Caenorhabditis elegans: one gene and its partner. The protein of the gene in region 1 interacts with the protein of each later gene in a biochemical or structural test. Each region holds a gene or a part of one and is shown on either strand. Other genes may lie near its edges. The genes, in order: slo-1 and bkip-1.

Region 1 (3,924 bases):
AGAGAAAAATCGGGTTTTGCTGGTCATGCAAATTTCCACATTAACACGACTTAACATTTACGATAGGGAGAAAAGTGTGAAAATTTAGAAAATGCACCCCTGTGGGGACAAATCGGGGACATGGGTCACTTTGCGAGACTTCTAGTTGAAAAATTCGAATTCTCCGTAAAATTTGCGTTTCAACAACCCCCATATCGATCATATTTGAGAAATTGGTAATTTTGGCTTAATTCGGCCTCAAACGGCCTGAAACGGCCCGAAATCATTGCATATTTCAAATTTGTCTGAGCATAGGCAATATGGGTGTCAAAATTTTGGAAATTTCACGGAGTGTATGAATTTCCTGTTGAAAATGGTCCCGGAGTGTCCCATGTCCCAAAATTGTCCCCACAGGGGTTCATTTTTGTAAAAATTTTTTTTTTTTTTTTTTTAATTCAGCAAACTTCAAATAATAAAATAAATAATAAAAAAAAATGCGATAACTACAAAAGCAAAAAAAAAAACATTTCCTGAAAGTTTTCGGAAAAATAGAAAAAATGCGGGGTAAGGGGGAACATTTTCCACATTTTCCATAAAAATCAGTGAATTTTTCAGAAAACTTTTGGACTTGCCCTGCGGTCCCGAATACTTCTGTAAAGCTGCATCGCTAGAGAATCCTAAAAATAAGAACAAGCTCCGCCCACTTTTTTCGTGCATATTTTTTTCGGTTTTTTTTTTGAAATTTTTTTTGTTGAATTTCATAAATTTGAAAAAATGTAGAAAATTGAAAATAGACAAAACTTAACTTAAAATAAACAAAAATTAGGCGGGAATTTGAATTTTTTAGGTATTTTTTTAAATTTTTTTTGTTCAAAAACCCACTTCTGTCATCCATCCCAAGTGTTTTTCCTCTTGTTGCTTCAAAAACGGGTCGGTTTCACTTGGCGCGTGCTTCGACCCGTTCATATTTATTTGGACGGCTTCCGGAGCAGGTATGGGCTCCACAAACTCTTTTTCTCGGCGTTGACAGCACAGGTGTGTCACCACTCGCCATATTACGACCAATATCATTGAGGCGCAGAATGTGGTGATGCTGAAAATATTTTTGTTGGATTTGGAAGAGTGAGAGCTTTAAAATACGCCCCATATTGGATAGTTTTGGAGGCGTTTGAGATTTTGGGTGCAAAGCGGTCGCGTCGCGGTCGGAATTTTTTTAAAAACAAATTTTTAATATTGTCTATCTCTGACACTTTTAACTTGATACTTTGAGTTTGTGGCTTCATGAGCTTCAAAATACGCCCCATATTGGATAGTTTTGGAGGCGTTTGAGATTTTGGGTGCAAAGCGGTCGCGTCGCGGTTTCAAAGTTTCAATTTTGAGAACAGACCATTTTGGCCTGTTGAAAATGAACTATTTATGTTGGTTACGTCGCTAGCTTCAAAATAAGCCCCATATTGACTGGGTTTGGAGCATTTTGAGATTTTGGGTCACGCGGCGAGGTTGCGTCGCGGTCGCACCACTGTCAAAAGTGTTTACTCTTGCTTTGAATTAGTTCATTTTGAATTAATTTTCAATAATTTTTGAAGTTTTGTAGTTAATAAAGCCTAATTTTTCAAAATTTGACAATTTTAGTTTTCAACCGCGACGCGACCGCGCCGCGTCCGAAATTTAAAACTACATCAAATTATATCAAGATGGGGGTCAATTGAAAGCTGGCAACCTCAGAAATTCGAATTCACTAGTTTCAGCTCAATATTCCTTACCTGCTCAGTAAAAAACACCAATATTTGCGCTCCTCCAGGCACTTTCGATCTTCTTCAGTCATCTCCATGAATACTCGACTAAGGTTACAATTCATCGGGTATCCATATGGTTGATTGAAGCCCTTCGACTGCGAAGGCGAGTAAATCTCGCCCATCGTGTCGACGAAGGGTCCACCCGACGGCTTTCGGCGAGTCTGAAAATTTTTTGGAAATTTTTTTTTGTCTCAAAAAAAAAAAACTTTTCCCAAAAGCCCAAAGAAGTTTAAAAATCTCATAAAATATGCTCATTTTCTCACGAAGAAAAATGATGTCATCACCAGAAACTAGTGGTGGTGGGGACAAAAAGCGGAAAAAGTAGTGTGTAGAGTGAGAAAAGAATTAGGTCGGAGCAGCGAGGCCTTCCCTCCCGACGAATAAATGAACATAATGGACCAGTTAGGCTGGAGAAAATAGTAGAGACGTAGAGCGTGCCTAGACATATCTGTCATTTTTCCTGACAAACTCCCCGGAAATTTCACGTATCCCACGTATTTTTGACTGAAAATGTCCGGCTCTGGGGGACATGGTGCATCGAGAAAATCGGGAAATTTTGAAAATTTCTATCAATATTCGACTTTTAAACGCAATCTAGGAGTAAAAAGCCGCCTGAATTTGACTTCATAAATGGCTCAACTTCAATTTTAAAAAATGAGTTATTTGCCAAAAAGCCTAAAAAAAAAAGAACATGGTACATCGACCAAAAGCTCAATTTCCTCAAAACTCCAGATTTATAATAGGTATATTTTATATTCTGGTTTTTCGATGGTAAAATGCCACAGGGAGCCCCGCCATTATTCATCGAAAACCAGCAAAAAACTTGATGAATTGCTGTTCTGGAACACAAGTTTTGGAAAAAAATAAATAAATGAACAACAACTTTTTTTTTGCTTTTCAACAAAAAATTTTGGCGGGAATTTCAAATTTTTTGAGAACAACATTTTGGCGGGAAATTTGAATGTTCTGAGAATTAATGTTGGCAGGAAATTCAAATTTTAATAATTTATAATTTATAATTTTATAATTTAGGAAAAGGAATTAATGTCTGAGAAAATTGGTAGGAAATTCAATTTCACATTTTTTCAGAAAAATTTCGGCGGGAAATTCAAATTTTCCTAGAATTAATGTTGGCAGGAAATTCAAATTTTAATAGAATTAATTTTGGCAGGAAATTAAAATTTCTGAGGAACATTTTAGAGGAATGTTCAAATTTCCACAGAAAAACATTGGCGCAAAATTCAAATTTTCTTACAATTAGAAAAATTTTGGCGGAAAATTCAAATTTTTTGAGAAACATTTTGGTGGGAAATTTAAACTTTCTGAAAAAAATTTTTGGCGGGAAATTCAAATTTTCTCTGAAAAATTTTGGCGGTAAATTAAAATTTTTCTAGAACTAATTTTGGCTGGAAATTTGAATTTTCTCAGAAAAAGTTTGGCGGGGAAATTCAAATTTCCTTAGAATTAATTTTGGCGGGGAAATTCAATTTTTTTCAGAAAAATATTGGTGGGAAATTCAATTTTTGCAAACAAAAAAAAGTAGATCAAAATCTAAATTAAAAGTTGAAAATTTATGAGAATTAGAAAATTGAACACATAGTACTTAATGGGTTAGTGTATGGAGCTGGAGAACGTGTGTGTGTGTGTGAGTGTGCAAAAATATCAAGATATATGGAGGAAGGGGGAGAAAAGAAGAGTTACACTACACATTCTCCCCCCTCCTCTCTTCTCATCCCCCTCCTCAACCTTTCTCTGGCTCCCCCTCCCTCCCTGCACAGAGAGATGGATCAATACACCCCTCCGTCCGTCCGGCAATAGCAGAAGCTGCTGCTGCTGCTCGTGGTGCTCCGCGAGCCAGAAGAAGAAGCTGAAGCATTTGGAATGCGTAAGAGATGTGTGTCTGCGTCTCCAACGACCTCATTTTAGGAGGAGAAGCTGCCTGGAAAATTGGCGGAAAACGGGAGGGAAGGAACTTTTTTTGTTTTGGGAATATTCAATTTAACATGTTTAGGCTGGGGGAACTGGAAAAAATATTTTTTTTTGCGTAAAAAATTGATTTTAAAAAATTCAAAAATTGAAAAAAAAAATTTTTTTCAAATTTTTATTAAATTTTGTGTTTTCTGAATCACATTTTTCTTCTGATTCCAAA
Region 2 (3,795 bases), on another chromosome or scaffold:
AAACGCAGGTAGGTAGGCAGGCACGTCCGCCTGTATGTATATGCACCTACCATGGAAGCCCAAAGTAGGTTTACAAATAAAACCTTAATTTTCCGCAAAATCAGTAGGCAGGTATGTAGGCAAACAGTTATTTTTGTTTTTAATTTTCAAATTAAAAATAAAATGAAGTTGTTTGTTCTGAAATATTTTCTTAAAAAAAAACAATTACCGGAAAGTTGAAAATTTTATTTTAAAATTTAAAACTTAATAATTTTCAAACTAATAGTAAGTTTTCGTAGAATTTTTTTCATTTAATTTCTGACCCTTTCCTCTACAGTACCCCATTGTACAACCCCATTAACCCCTTAAAGCTCGTCCTTTTAATCCACCCCATGACAAGGCCAATTTTCTCATAAAGCCTCCAAAAATTCCACCCCGTGGCAGTTTAATTTGTGCTCTGCTGTGCTCAAAATGGCTATACAGCTCATAAAATTTTTTTTTCGGGGGGCCGCCCATATTATTTCCAAGAAAACTTTTTGAAATTTTATGGGCCATCGAAATTTCGAGAGGAAGTTCTGGTTTTTGCACTTTCGAGACAAACTGATCTCTGCGCCAATTCTTTAATCTGTTTTGAAAACAAAATTGAACTTTTCAATTTTTTTTTTATCCGAAAACTGAAAAACTTTAATTCGGATTTTATTTCAAAACTTTTTTTAAAAATTTTATTTCAAAGCTAACCTATCGACCTTGCCTGCCTTCCGTGCCTACTAACCTACCGACCTTGCCTGCCTCTCGTGGCTACTTACCTACCGACTTTACCTGCCATCCGTGCCTACTAACCTACCGACCTTGCCTGCCTCCCGTGCCTACTTACCTACCGACTTTACCTGTCTTCCATGCCTACTTACCTACCGACTTTACCTGCCATCCGTGCCTACTTACCTACCGACCTTGTCTGCCTTCCGTGCCTACTAACCTACCAACCCTGCCTGCCTTCCGTGCCTACTAACCTATCGACCTTGTCTGCCTTCCGTGCCTACTAACCTATCGACCTTGCCTGCCTCCCGTGCCTACTTAACCTATCGACATTTTTTGCGTCAAAAGGCAGTAGGTCGCCTTCAGGCTACCTTCTTTTAAAACATGAGAAGATGTTCCCTCTATTATTTTAAGCTTTTTCAAGCAGCTCCCTAGCCTGAAGCCTTCCAAAAAATCAATTGCTCAGGCATGTGACCGCTTTCAGCTAATCTCATTACCTTCTCGTGTGAAATTTCATTTTTCTTTATGTTTTAGCGTTTTTTGCTGGTTTTATTGGTTTTTATACTACTGATTTTTAAAATTGAAATTTTTCAGAAATTTCAAAAAAAAAATGTTTTAAAAAATTTTCTAAAAATTCTGAAAAATTTTCAAAATTGTTTTTACTGAAAATTTCAAAAAATTTCCCAACAAAAGTGACATCATCATTTCTCAAGCCCATTCATCTCTGAAAAACTTTCAGTTCTCAAATTTCACTTTGCCCTTTTTGTTTCCCATAATGTCTACATTTTTTCAACTTTTAAAACTCAAAGTTCAATTACCCTTTATTTCAAAAAATAATTTCAAGAATTTCCAGAATTATCAGCCAAAAATGTATATAACAACATCGCGAGTGAACAAAATGCAGCCTGGCGAAATTCTGACGTGGATTATGTTCTGTTTCACAGTAGCTTTGGCACTAGGCGTGGTCGCCTATTACAAGTTTTGCAAAAAAAGTATCTTGTAGTTTTTGCAGTTTTTGTAGTGTATAAATAAAAAAATTTCAGATCCTTATGCTCATCATCATTATCAAAGGCCTTTGATTACGAAAAATTAGACAATGATTTCAGTGAGTTTGGAATTTTTTGATAAATTGCCAAATTGTCAAGTTTCAATTGTCAATTGTCAAATGACCAATTTGTTATTTGACAGATGTCAAATTGTCAAATTGTCAAATTGCCAAGTGCCATCTTGTCAATTGTCAAATCTCCAAGTTGTCAATTGCCAATTCGGCAAATTGTCTAATTGTCGTTATGGAAAATTGTCAGATAGCCAAGTATAAAATTGTTAATTGTCAAATTGCCAATTGTCAATTAATGTCAACAATTGTCAATTGTCAATAATTGTCAATTTGCCCATTGTCAATTGTCAAAAAGTAAAATTGGCAAATTGTCAATTGACAAAATTTCGAATTTTCAAATTGTCAATGATTGTCAACCATTGTCTAATTGTAAATTGCCTATTGTCAAAAGGTCAAATTGGCTAGTTGTAAATTGAATAATTTTTGAATTGTCAAATTATCAAATTGTCAATTATTGTCAAATTGTCCATTGTCAATTGTCAAAAAGTAAAATTGGCAAGTTGTCAATGGAAACAATTTTCGAATTGTCAATTGTCAACTGAAAAATTTTCCAATTGTCAAATTGTCATTTATTTGACAGAAAAAAACAATTTTAAAAATTTGCAAATCGAAAAAAAAACTTTTTTCCCTCACAATATTTGATAGATCTAAAAAAAATTTCAATTTTCGAAACCGAACAAATTCTCAAATTTCGAAAATCTCCATCTCTAATGAGCCGGAGCACAAGCTCAGCGGCGTGGTGGTCCACCATGCTAGAGAGCACAAAGAAGCGAGAGACCGCAGACACATCCAGCAGAGCTTCTCCAGCTCTCCACACAAATCGATTATATTTTTGTGCTCACATTTTCTCATTCTGCTTATTGTTTTTTGTTGCTCGGAAATAAATGCCACAAATTGATGGATATTCTCATAGACCTGGAGATGTTGTGGGTTTTTATTTGATTTTTTTGTTGGAAATTTGAAAAAAAAAGGTTTTTGTCGATAATGGATAATTCTGTCAGAATTCAGAAAATATTATGAATTCTTAATTTTTTTGTTAGAAAACAAGTTGAAAAATTAAACAAAATTTCAAATTTAGCGCCAAAATTGTTTTAAAAAAGTCAAAAATTTAAACAAAAAAATTCAACTTTTTTCAGAAATTCCAAGCGGGTGAATGGTACACACTTTACGCATCACTTTTCATGACTATTCTCATAATTGCAGTCGTCTCATATTATACACTTATTGCTCCTGGTAAGCGGTTTTTTAATTAACAAAAATAATGTTTAAATTTAAAAAGCTCCTAAAACCAATAAATTAACAATTTTTCAGCTGAATCAGCATGGAAAGTATCAAAGCGAAAAAAGCAGCAGTGATTGGTATTTGCCTGGTTATTCATCGATCCTCATATTTTATTGATTGATTTTTTGTACATTTTTGGCTTTTCGAATGAAAATTTTAAAATTTGTGGTTTGATAAAAGAAAACGAACAATATTTGAATGAAAAATTATTTTTCTGAACTTTTTTGTCTAGAAATGCGGCAATTGTGACATATGCGACAATTGATGTTCGGCAAATTTTTTTGTCGACAAATGGGCAAATTGGCAATTTCGGCAAAACGGCAAATTTTCGGCTTGCCGATTTGACAGAAACTTTTGGCAAATTGCCGGAATTTTTCAAAGGGATTTTTTATAATACGGAAACACTTGAAACTGCGCCTTTTTGAAATTTTTCCCATTTTTGTAAATGATATTTTCATAGAAATTGCTTACTTTTCAAAATAGATGTAGGAAAATTTATAGGATGAGTACAATTTTGACGATCAAAATCGAGTTTTTGAAATTTCCAAAAAAAATTTGCAAACCTAAAATTTGCTGATAATTTTCAGCAATTGCCAATTTTCCGGCAAATTCGGCTAATTGGCGACTTGCCGGTTTGCCGGTTTGCCGATTTGCCGAAAAAA

The links.
Region 2: of the proteins of slo-1 (region 1) and bkip-1, one has a biochemical effect on the other in vitro, tested with the Caenorhabditis elegans proteins (one study listed by BioGRID).

The regions. Positions count from the first base shown.
Region 1 is NC_003283.11:18,490,279-18,494,202, reverse strand, and holds the start of slo-1 (BK channel), read right to left. Parts: upstream 1,898-3,924; coding exon 1,743-1,897; intron 1,073-1,742; coding exon 862-1,072; intron 657-861; coding exon of another isoform or gene 612-656; intron 1-611. UniProt on the Caenorhabditis elegans protein: Potassium channel activated by both membrane depolarization or increase in cytosolic Ca(2+) that mediates export of K(+). Its activation dampens the excitatory events that elevate the cytosolic Ca(2+) concentration and/or depolarize the cell membrane.
Region 2 is NC_003280.10:14,099,660-14,103,454, forward strand, and holds bkip-1 (BK channel Interacting Protein), read left to right. Parts: upstream 1-1,603; coding exon 1,604-1,734; intron 1,735-1,778; coding exon 1,779-1,840; intron 1,841-2,700; exon of another isoform or gene 2,701-2,736; coding exon of another isoform or gene 2,737-2,778; intron 2,779-2,988; coding exon 2,989-3,005; downstream 3,006-3,795.